Linked DNA regions of Arabidopsis thaliana. The protein of the gene in region 2 interacts with the protein of the main gene of each other region in a pairwise test. Each region holds a gene or a part of one and is shown on either strand. Other genes may lie near its edges.

The links. Proteins that work in one complex are often made in the same cells at the same time.
Region 1: the proteins of PCL1 (region 2) and LBD21 interact in a two-hybrid assay, tested with the Arabidopsis thaliana proteins (one large-scale study listed by BioGRID).

What each region holds. Positions count from the first base shown.
Region 1 is NC_003074.8:3,472,360-3,476,887, reverse strand, and holds LBD21 (LOB domain-containing protein 21), read right to left. Parts: upstream 1,967-4,528; 5' UTR 1,853-1,966; coding exon 1,355-1,852; 3' UTR 1,040-1,354; downstream 1-1,039. Other genes in the region: AT3G11100 (sequence-specific DNA binding transcription factor), read left to right, coding at 1-303, 385-398; RLP35 (receptor like protein 35), read right to left, coding at 3,576-4,528.
Region 2 is NC_003074.8:17,180,504-17,186,282, reverse strand, and holds PCL1 (Homeodomain-like superfamily protein), read right to left. Parts: upstream 3,214-5,779; 5' UTR 3,036-3,213; coding exon 2,162-3,035; coding exon of another isoform or gene 2,064-2,161; exon of another isoform or gene 1,397-2,063; intron 1,395-1,396; coding exon 1,294-1,394; 3' UTR 1,232-1,293; exon of another isoform or gene 1,098-1,231; 3' UTR 929-1,097; downstream 1-928. Other genes in the region: AT3G46650 (UDP-Glycosyltransferase superfamily protein), read left to right, coding at 503-722; AT3G46630 (DCL protein (DUF3223)), read left to right, coding at 3,937-4,274, 4,672-4,786, 4,975-5,145. UniProt on the Arabidopsis thaliana protein: Transcription factor that is essential for the generation of the circadian clock oscillation. Is necessary for activation of CCA1 and LHY expression.

The sequences.
Region 1 (4,528 bases), about 14 Mb from region 2:
ATGATGACGACGAAGAAGATGATGATGATGCGGGTGATTGGGGATTTGTGGTGAGGAAGCATCGTAAAGTTGAAGATGTAGATTCGAGTGAAGGATCAGCCTTTAGGGAGCTAGCGAGATCGATTCTGAAGTTAGGGGAAGCGTTTGAGAGAATCGAGGGGAAGAAGCAACAGATGATGATTGAATTGGAGAAACAGAGAATGGAAGTTGCAAAGGAGCTTGAGTTACAACGAATGAATATGTTGATGGAGATGCAATTGGAGCTTGAGAAATCTAAACTTGGGAAACGAAGAGCTGCTTCAGGTAAAGTTTTCATTTTTATGTGTGTTTTGTTGTGATTGATGAGTTTACTGAAACTTCAGTTGTGCTTTGTTTGTTGTATAGGTAAGAAGTTGTAGGATTGTAGATTGTGGAGGAGTTACTGATGTGAAGCAAGGAGCAATGGTTGGATCTAAAGCTCATACGATTTGGAGAAGATGTTATTATTATTGATCTTTAGGTTTTCTTAAGTTATAGCGCGATGCTTTTTTTCTTCTTCTTCTTTTTCATTCTCTTTTTTAGCATTGTAGAGTTACATTGGTAGTAGCAATGCGAATTACCAAAAGAACTCTCATAGTATCTGACATATCAAGATGTACTTTTGTGAAGTATCAATGTATGATGGTTTGTGTATCAGTGTCTGCAGTTCCAAATTGTGCTCATCTCTCTTTCTGTGATCTGCAATTACTCTTTTGCTTAGGCAGGTTTCAGGAATGTGTACAGACTTAACAAGATGCGTAGAACGGTTCTGAGGAGAACTCTTATCAGAGTCATTCATAATTCAGTTTGGAATTTGATCAAACCCACCAAGCTATTGATTTGGATGTTTGCTTATGTGACTTTGCTGCACTCTGGAATCTCCAGGACAAGACTCTTGTGGCCTGAGGGAGACGAGTTGACACATGAGGCTGTATTATTGGAGCCTCAAAAAAGAACATCATAGAAGCATATATATCAATGTTTCATGTTTGGTAGAATTTCGGGATGACATAAGCATGTGCTCTCCTATTCATACCTGACTTACAAAGAAGCTCTTCATCTAAAACACCTCACTTTACTCACCTTGGCCTACCACTTGGTCCAAAACTGGTAAGGACTCTGACCTTCCAAGGCTCATCTTGTACCTGAGTTATCTCATCGCATGTGATGGTTACTTTTGAAGTTAAAACCCTTTTTCATACATATGATGAAGTAAGCATCTGATTATGCATACTGGAATTCATACATTAGGGACAGACTTTAGATTGTCAAAGATAACTTGTAAAGCAAAGTGCAAATACAGCTGATAAAGAGATATATGATAGAGAGATAAGGCCTATACAAAAGGAGGCTGTCCAAGATCATACAAGTAAGCATCAAGATTAGTAGACCCATCAAGCAACATCAAGTCACTATAAGGTACAAGATCAAGAAAAGCAGCAAGCTCAGGAGAATCATCCAAAGGGGACACTTGGCTGTTGTTGACCCCAGAATGGGCAAGTAGTCGAGTGCGAGCAACAGCTAGATCGTGTTGAAGCTCGAGCATCTTCTTCTGCAGAGACGCTATGGCTCCAATGCAACCGTAAACAGGATCCTTGAGACGAACCTCAGCTTCATAAGCCAAGGAGTTAACGGTTTCTTGTCTCTGTTCTTCAGGAACTTCACCGAGAAGCTTACTGACGTTGCTGGCTCCAAAGACTTTATGGACTTTGGCGAAAGTTATCAAGTCACTTGAGCGGAAATAAGGAGCGAAAATGCAAGTGGGTGTGCATCGTCTCTTCAAGAGCTTGCAGGCTGCACAAGATGAGCTTGATCGTGGCTCATGCCCTCTCATCTCAAACTTTTTGTTTGTTTGTTTTGATTTTTTGGTGGTAAATGTTAGGCTCTCGTTTTTTCTAAGTTTTATCTCGTGCTTCCTTTATATATTGATAAGAGTCTTTTAACTTTTTGTGAAGAAGAGTGTTTTTGAAAGTAATAGAGAGAAGGAAACAAATGGGACAAGGCATGGGCCTATTCATCATTTGTGTTGGCTTTGAGCTTTTCCTTGCTAATTACATGATTGGTCGTGAGTTCGAGTCCATAAATCATAATCATATATTGAAAAATCAAAGGTACTATAGAGATAGAGAGAGTTAAAGTAACAACACATCAGCTAATTTTCTCTTTTATAGAAGAAGAAACAAGAGAAGCAAGACTTTTGGATTAGTGGAAACAAGTCAATCAAGCAAAATACAAAATAGCTTTCACTTTGCTCCAAATTGAAGAGGAAATTTCTTACAAAGTGGGCACCAATATAGAACTGAGCTTATATCACTTTTTGTGGTTCTTATTGTAGATTATACATAGCTTAAGCAAAAGAAAGTCAAATAATAAAATAAATAAAATCACAGGTAGCATATAAAAATTGGAGTGTGGAAATGGAGAAGACAAGACATTTGACAAGAAAAGTGAGAGAATGAGAAGCCCACCACCATCACCACCGTCCCCTTCACTATCCATTTTCTCTTCTTTCTTTGGCTTCCTCTTCTACTCATCATTCATTTTGGTTGTGAATTTATACCAATAACAAGAAAAACTTAACTCAAAACTTAAAATTTCTTTTGTTAAATCAAATATTCATAAATCTTAAGGACCTTAAATCTTTTAACCTTTATAATGAGTACACAAAACGATAATATTGTTATCTCTTAACCTTTGTGAATGAGTATAAATATACAAACAAGTAATGGTTTAAAGAAATTGCTAGTAGCAACTTAAAAAGAATTGTCATTTACTTAATTAAATCTTCTTATCTTGTCATTTCATAAATTAAATCGTAATATGTAATGCTTTCCATTCCTTTTCCACTATGGATTATAATCCCATAGGCTTACCTAAACTTTTCTAGTAGTTCACAGAGCTTAGCATATAATCACTCCCTTTCCTTAAGCCATTACCAAAAACCCAAAAACTCATCATCAAAACACACTTCTCCATTCTCGTATAAACTACTTGAAAATGTCGAGAATGAAACAGCTTGCTGCTGCAAAATAGCAGATAAATGTCTAATAAAGAACCAGACACAACTGACTTCAAATATATCCATGTATAAGGTTTAGTTTATCAAAATACAGTAAAAATGGCTTTTTGATCAAATATTCCCCAATTCTATAATTGCTCTGTATTTCTGCGTCTTAATTGATACGAACAAATAGACATACATTTTTAGATACGAGAGTGCAATGGGGAAAGAAATGATAACAACAAACTCGCGGGAAAAAACAACTTTACATGTACATCTAAAGAGCGAAAAACAGAGTTGTTCAATTACAAAGTTGGCTAAAAACAGAGTAGAAGAGAAAAACACAAGCTAAACCGGAAACAATCTGGATTTGAAAATGGCTAAAAGAGTGGTTGGTTAACGTCAAGGAGTTCGTCCGGTTACTTTGACTTTCCTCTTCCAGATTATTCAGATAGGTTATAAGCCTATAACAACGAAAATAAGTTGTTAAAACAGAAATAAAATTCATTCTGATGGAAAGCTACCAAACTCGTTCAAAAGTCGGAACATTACCTCTCTAGTGGGTGGTGGTGTTTCTGCGTCGACGATTGTTTCGGCCAAAAGGGTTCATGAACCACTCTGGTTTGTAGGAAACCAATATGTATCCAATCGTTAATCCAAAGACAATTCCAGGTATGAATCCTATTGCGGCTGCTATCCAGCTTATCTCTTCTTCGTCTTCTTCCTCTGTTTCTGTCGTTTCATTCTGTTGTGATGCTGGCGTATGTTTATCTCTGCAGACTTCGTCAAGAGAAGGGCCAAAAAGTCCCAGGTTATTCTCAAAGGCAGAGCAATTTTGCCTTCGAAACTGCGTACCTCCTGGTACTAGGCCTGCAAGCTGGTTATGAGAGAAGTTCATATACGCAAGGAACGAAAGGTCCCCTAGCTCTTGTGGAATCTCTCCTGTAAGCTTGTTCTGGGAAACGTCCAATGACTCGAGAGCTGTCAGGTTCCCCATAGATGATGGGATGTGGCCACCAAAAGCATTGTTTGACAAGTTGAGCACGAGAAGCTCTTTCAATAGACCAATGGACTTTGGAATCTCTCCTTCAAATTTGTTTCCGGAAAAGTCGAGTGCTGTGTAGATTGTTAGAATACGTACCAGCTCCATCGCTAAACCTTTATTCATCAAAACCATTGAATCTTGGTAGTAAAGGCCTGATCCCATGTACTTTTCGTTAGACTGGTCTTCGTTTTTTCCAAGTGATGACATAGCACTCCACTTCACAAAGTACTCTGTTGGCAAAGTTCCATTGAAGTGATTATGTGATATGTCAATGATTCGCAACTCAGGGAATGTGGCTTCATGTATTGGTCCATGGAATGCATTGGAGCGTAATACAAGAACTTGTAACTTCGACAGAGAACTCAACCAGAACGGAAACGTGTCGTTGATTCTGTTGCTTTCCACGTTCAAAACTTCAAGATTAGAGAAACGGATCAAAGATCTTGGAAGCTTTCCCACCAGTA
Region 2 (5,779 bases):
AATATAGAATTGTTGCATCACAATAAACATCTTTTCTTTTGTCTTTGATTACTACTCTCTCTAACAAAATAAAGAGATGTAACTACTTGCGTACACCATCGACCACATGCTTCACATGTGCGCAAAGAGAGCTAACAAAACATTATACGGATGAATTAGTGTCCACAAGCGAGAATCTGATATTTATATATATAAAACGTTCAAAGAAGATGAGAAGCAGAGTAATCTATAAGCCCGGAGCTTAGAGAGCTACTTATTAGTTTTCTTGTAGGTTTTGGAAATGGAGGAAAAGCAGGTTTCTTAGTAACAGTAGCTTCCGCCCTATAAACAAGTAGAAAACATATGTATCAACTACATTGTGAAAAGGGCTCCACAGAAGGAAGTACTTGCTCATCCTGCAATAGGGGCGTTTTGGAGCCATAAAGGATGCAACTCGATACTAGAAAACATGATCAGCGAAGGAGTTCCGGTGATTTGCAGGCCATTTTCGGGTGAACGCAAGGTACTTGGAGTGTGTTTGGAAAATTGGGATTCAAGTGGAGGGTGATCTAGAAAGAGGAGCGGTCGAGAGAGCTGTGAAGAGGTTAACGGTTTTCGAAGAAGGAGAGGAAATGAGAAAGAGAGCCGTCACTTTGAAGGAGGAGCTGAGAGCCTCTGTTAGAGGTGGAGGTTCTTTACACAACTCGCTAAAGGAGTTTGAACACTTCATGATGACTCTATGAAGACAATTACTTGTGTGGATGTTAAGAAATCTATGTACTTTTCTATTCTAGAAGAATCTCGCTACTATTAAATAAGATAATCAAGGTCTGAAGATAAGGTTGTCACTGAATGTATGATGTGCAGAGAAACAATCATATATTAATGAAAATTATGAACATATATTGGAGATGAAAAGGTCTTGAAATTATTATCTAAATCTCAAAGTAGAACCCTAAGTGGCTGAAACCTATGTCAGCAAGAAACATTGGAAAGACTTTTGCTTTTGTTAAAATGTCACTTTCTTCCTTTTGTTGGACGTTCATTGGTATGTGGCTCTCCAATCACTCGTAAGGTCATCATATGAGGAATACTTGATTGTATTAAAATGGCTTCTTCTGAAACATTTGATTGGTTTATAAATTTTTAAAATAAAGTTTGTGTCTGACGCCATCTCTCACAGAAATAAACAATTCACTCTCTTGATTACCACTTTAAGAAGTCTGCAGACAAATAAAACAAAGGGACTTACCTCTTACAAGATAGAAAAATGAGTATATGAAATTTGTCTGCAGTCTTCTCTTGGTTTAGCTTCTACATGATACTTTGTATGATCCTCTCCTGAACAGATGCAATTTGGGACTTTGCGGTGGAAAACTCCGCAAAAGATAAGAAATTTTGTAGACACCAAGAACCTGTAACAACAATCAAATATGATCAAGACCTGCAAAAGATGCAGAACCCAAACATAAAAGAGAAACTGCTCATTCTACCTAAAAGCTTGCACAGGTAATATCTTGTCTAGATCAAAAAACATCACAAGACTTTCCCAATGAGGAAACCAAAACCAAAATAACATGACACTATCACTTCTGCAAAAAGAGTACACAAGAAAATGTCGAGCCACATGACACATATGCTCTCTTGGATTTGACATAACTCACAGTGTTAGTTACCTAGTCCCGAAGAGAAAATTAAACACATGGTTTTCAAAACCACCATATAATTCCGAAGATGAATCAAACATGATCTGGATTACATTAAGTCTCAAGTCACATGAGAGCAATTTTGATACTTAATTCTCAATAACATTTCAACATAGCACAAGAATCTCAAAATCAAATTCAACTTAGTTGATTATATTAACTCTGTCAACATCACCAAACAAGTGATTATTAAGACTTTATTGTATACCATTTATAGTAAAAGACAGAAACTTGATGAAAATTTCGATCAAATCGAGTAAGAATTATAACTGTACTGTACTTAAAAAAACAGAAACTTGACAATAATTATCAGTTCCACGAGCAATAACAAGCTCACCTATCTCTTCCTCCCCCATTGAATCCATCTATAGACTCTTTTTAATTCTCATTTGCGCTTCCACCTCCAACAGAAGGATAAGAAGCCATGGATCCAAACTTATTCTGCTGCATCATATAAGGATTTGACTCAAACGCACCATTTCCACCAGCTCCATGATGATGACGATGATTCTGATGATAAGGATCATGATTATGATTTTGATGATGATATCCTTGCATACCCATATGATGTGCATAAACTGGCATCTGCATCATCTGTTGCGTTCCATACGCCCCCGGAATCGGCACTCCAACATTACCGCTGCTACCGCCACCGCCACCGATATCTTGGAAGCTCTGTGGAGGAACAGGTGTTGAAGAGAAGAGCTTATCCGAAGCAGAGGGACCTTCATTAGTCAATCCCTGCATCCTTTTGAGGTAAAGCCTATACTTTTGAAGATGAGACGCAACGTTCTCACGAGTTAATCCTTCAACGTTCATCAGCTGCATAATCGTCTTCGGAACAGCGTTTTTGATCCCTAAGTGAGCTACAACGTCAACGAATCTCTTGTGTAGCTGCGGTGTCCACACTAAACGCGGTCGTTTAAGTGTTTTCCCAGATAGATCTTCAGTTCCTGAATCTCCTTCTTCCGCCGCCATCGCCGAATCCGGATCCACACCGCCACCGTCATCTCCATCACCGTTTGATGTCTTTTGCTTCTTCGAATCCGATCCAGGACTGCTAGATCCAACTCGATCTTCCTCCTCCACGTTATTATTCGACGACGAGGTATTTGGACCTGAAGATCCACCACGTAGCGACGAGAGCGTCGTCTCCGATGCACGATTCACATCCTGAATCGTACGGCTTCTCTCCGGTGTGATACTAAACGCCATCGCCAAATTCGGTGGAATCAGAGAGTAAGAAAGAGATGCTAGATCTTCGTCGCTTGGTAATCCCATCTCCCATTCAGAAACCCTATCTCCGTCGCCGGAAACATCGTAATCGCTCATTTGTACTTCCTCTCCCATTTCAAACTCTCTAATTTCTCGAAATTCAGTTAGAGATTGAGCTCTTCGAAGCTCAAAATCGATAAAAATTCAAATCTGAGATCGGAGAAGAAGAGAAGTTTGGTTTGTGAAGATGATGAGCAAACAATTTTTTTTTTTTTTTTTTTCAGAAGTGAAACAATTTCGAAAAAGAGAAGATTATCACTTGTTTTATATTTTTCTTTTCCAGGAAAAAGCGCAATATTTTAATTCCAACGTGGACGAGTTAGCTAGATATTTTAGATCTTCTAAATATCTTTTCAAACCGACCTAACCAATCTCTTTTCAACACGTCATCAGTTCACATTATGTATCAATAGTTACGATCTAGGTGATTGAAATTGAAATTACCAAACTAGGCACGTAAGATGGAGCCACGTGGAGTGAAAAGAGCCAAGTCAGCTATTTGTGAGGGTTTTTCAGTAAATTACTACCGACTTAGCAAGTTGTGTTTGCGGGCCTAGAGAGAAAGTGGGCAAAACCGGTGGGTTCGGCCAGCTGGAGAGTGAAAAGAGGAGAAAGATTCGGTGATGAGTATCTACAGTACTGACACGCAATGTGATCTTTCCACCGTTGGATTGTTGTTTTAGATATTTATAGAAGCATATAAAGATCAATCTAACGGCACAGATTGGCTGGCACCTAACTTTTAAGAAAATGAAAATAATTATTGTGGAAAGGCTCAGAGAGGTTTAGTTACTCTGTTTAGCTTCTTCAACGTCACGGGTTCGATGCCCCAACTTCACAAACTGACGAAACGTTATCTTCTTCTCAAATTTCTGATTCTCTGAGATTTCCCCAATTTTTCATCTTCTTCGAGTGATTAGTACAGATTAGGGTTTTATTCGTTATTATTGTCTATATTACTCCTTGATTGTGGTCGATGACCTCGCTACTTCTTCTCAGAACGCTTCCGCTTCTCCGCAACGGATTTCTCAACCATCGTCATCAAGTTGGTATCGTAGCTGGTGGAATTCTCAGTCACCGTCGGCGTTTGTTGTGTTCTCTTGCTGATAGACCACAGTTTTACGAGAATAATGATTCTGTTTCTCCGGTGGAGGGATCCGGCGCGGCGGCGATGAACGTGACATCGCCTGTTGTTGATAATAGCTGGCGTTATGAAGATCCTGATTATCGGAAATGGAAGAATCTAGAGGCTGAGATTCTTCGAGATATTGAACCTATTTCTCTTCTCGCTAAAGAAATTCTTCATTCCGATAGGTAATTTCTTCAAATTCTTGCTGATTGTTCTTCAATAGCTGTTCCATGTTTGGATTAGTATTGAAGGTATAGGCTCATAGCTTCTTCCAGTAGCTTAATCAAACAACATAGAGACACCATATGGCCTTTTGAGGTGACTATTACACATGATGATATTCTTGGCTTATTGTTGAGGATCCTTTAGCAATGGATGATAGGATTATAGTGGTCATTGCAGAAAGTGAGAGATGCTCTTGTATATATCTTCAGTTTACTTGAACATTAGGCAAATTACAACTTTTTTCTAGTGAACTATTGACATTTGAAGCTAGCTTCAGAGCATACTTGCTGTTTTCTTTGTGTAGATTACTTTTTGCAGTTCTAGTGAGCTGTTTTTTTTTTCCTTTTTGGTAAGCAGGTATTTGGATGGAGAACGCTTAGATTTTGAGGATGAGAAAATTGTCATGGAAAAGCTTCTTCCTTATCACCCATATTCCAAAGACAAAATTGGTTGTGGTCTTGATTTTATAATGGTACGTAAATTCGAGCTAACCCGATATCTCTCTCTTTAAGCTCTACTCATATAGAAATTATCTTGAGGTATTGTGCATAGTTCTCGAATCACCATGATAGATATATGACTTACTTACATGCTCTATCCATAAATCTTCATTTGCTTTATGTGCATGGACTTATGAGTGTGCTACTTTGTTACTGGCAGGTTGATCGGCATCCACAATTCAGGCACTCAAGATGCCTCTTTGTTGTGAGAACAGATGGTGGATGGATAGATTTCTCGTACCAAAAGTGTCTTCGAGCCTATGTTCGAGATAAGTACCCGTCTCACGCTGAGAGGTTTATTCGTGAACATTTTAAGCGTGCTAGTAGCTAAAAATCTGTATAACTGTCCCACTCATCATCACAGCAAATTCTCATAAATTTTTAGCTGAAATAACACAATCAGCTATGAAGCTTTGTTGTACAAAATTTATAAATTGCTCAATCTATTGGAAGACTTGAATGAGTTAGGAAAATAGTAGTTGGTTCAGACTGCAGAACAATCAATTTTTGAGACCGAAAGTAATTCTAGTTATGGAATACAATATTTGCATGTTGTAAAATCTTTTTAGCTGAAACTTCGAACATCCTTTGCAAGTAAAAATATTGTCACTTCAAACTTTCGAAGTAGCTAGAGAATTTCCAAAGTCTAAACTGTCAGAGAGCAAAGCCCAAAATGAACAATCTCAAAAAGAAACCCAAACCAGTACGCTTTGTAATGTTTCCAAACGATGAGGATAAGAGAAGAATCTACCTTATTCCAACCCATAATTGACTCCATATATATAACTCATAAAGTCAAATGTTTTGGTTAACAAACTACAAGCATTTAGTTGACAAAATTAAAGTTGAACCAATAACCATTTAGTCCTTAAACAAACTAAAAAATATGTCAACATATGTTGATAATCAACATATACAAGAACACATTTACATCATTTCCAAAATTCAAAGATTTATATTATATA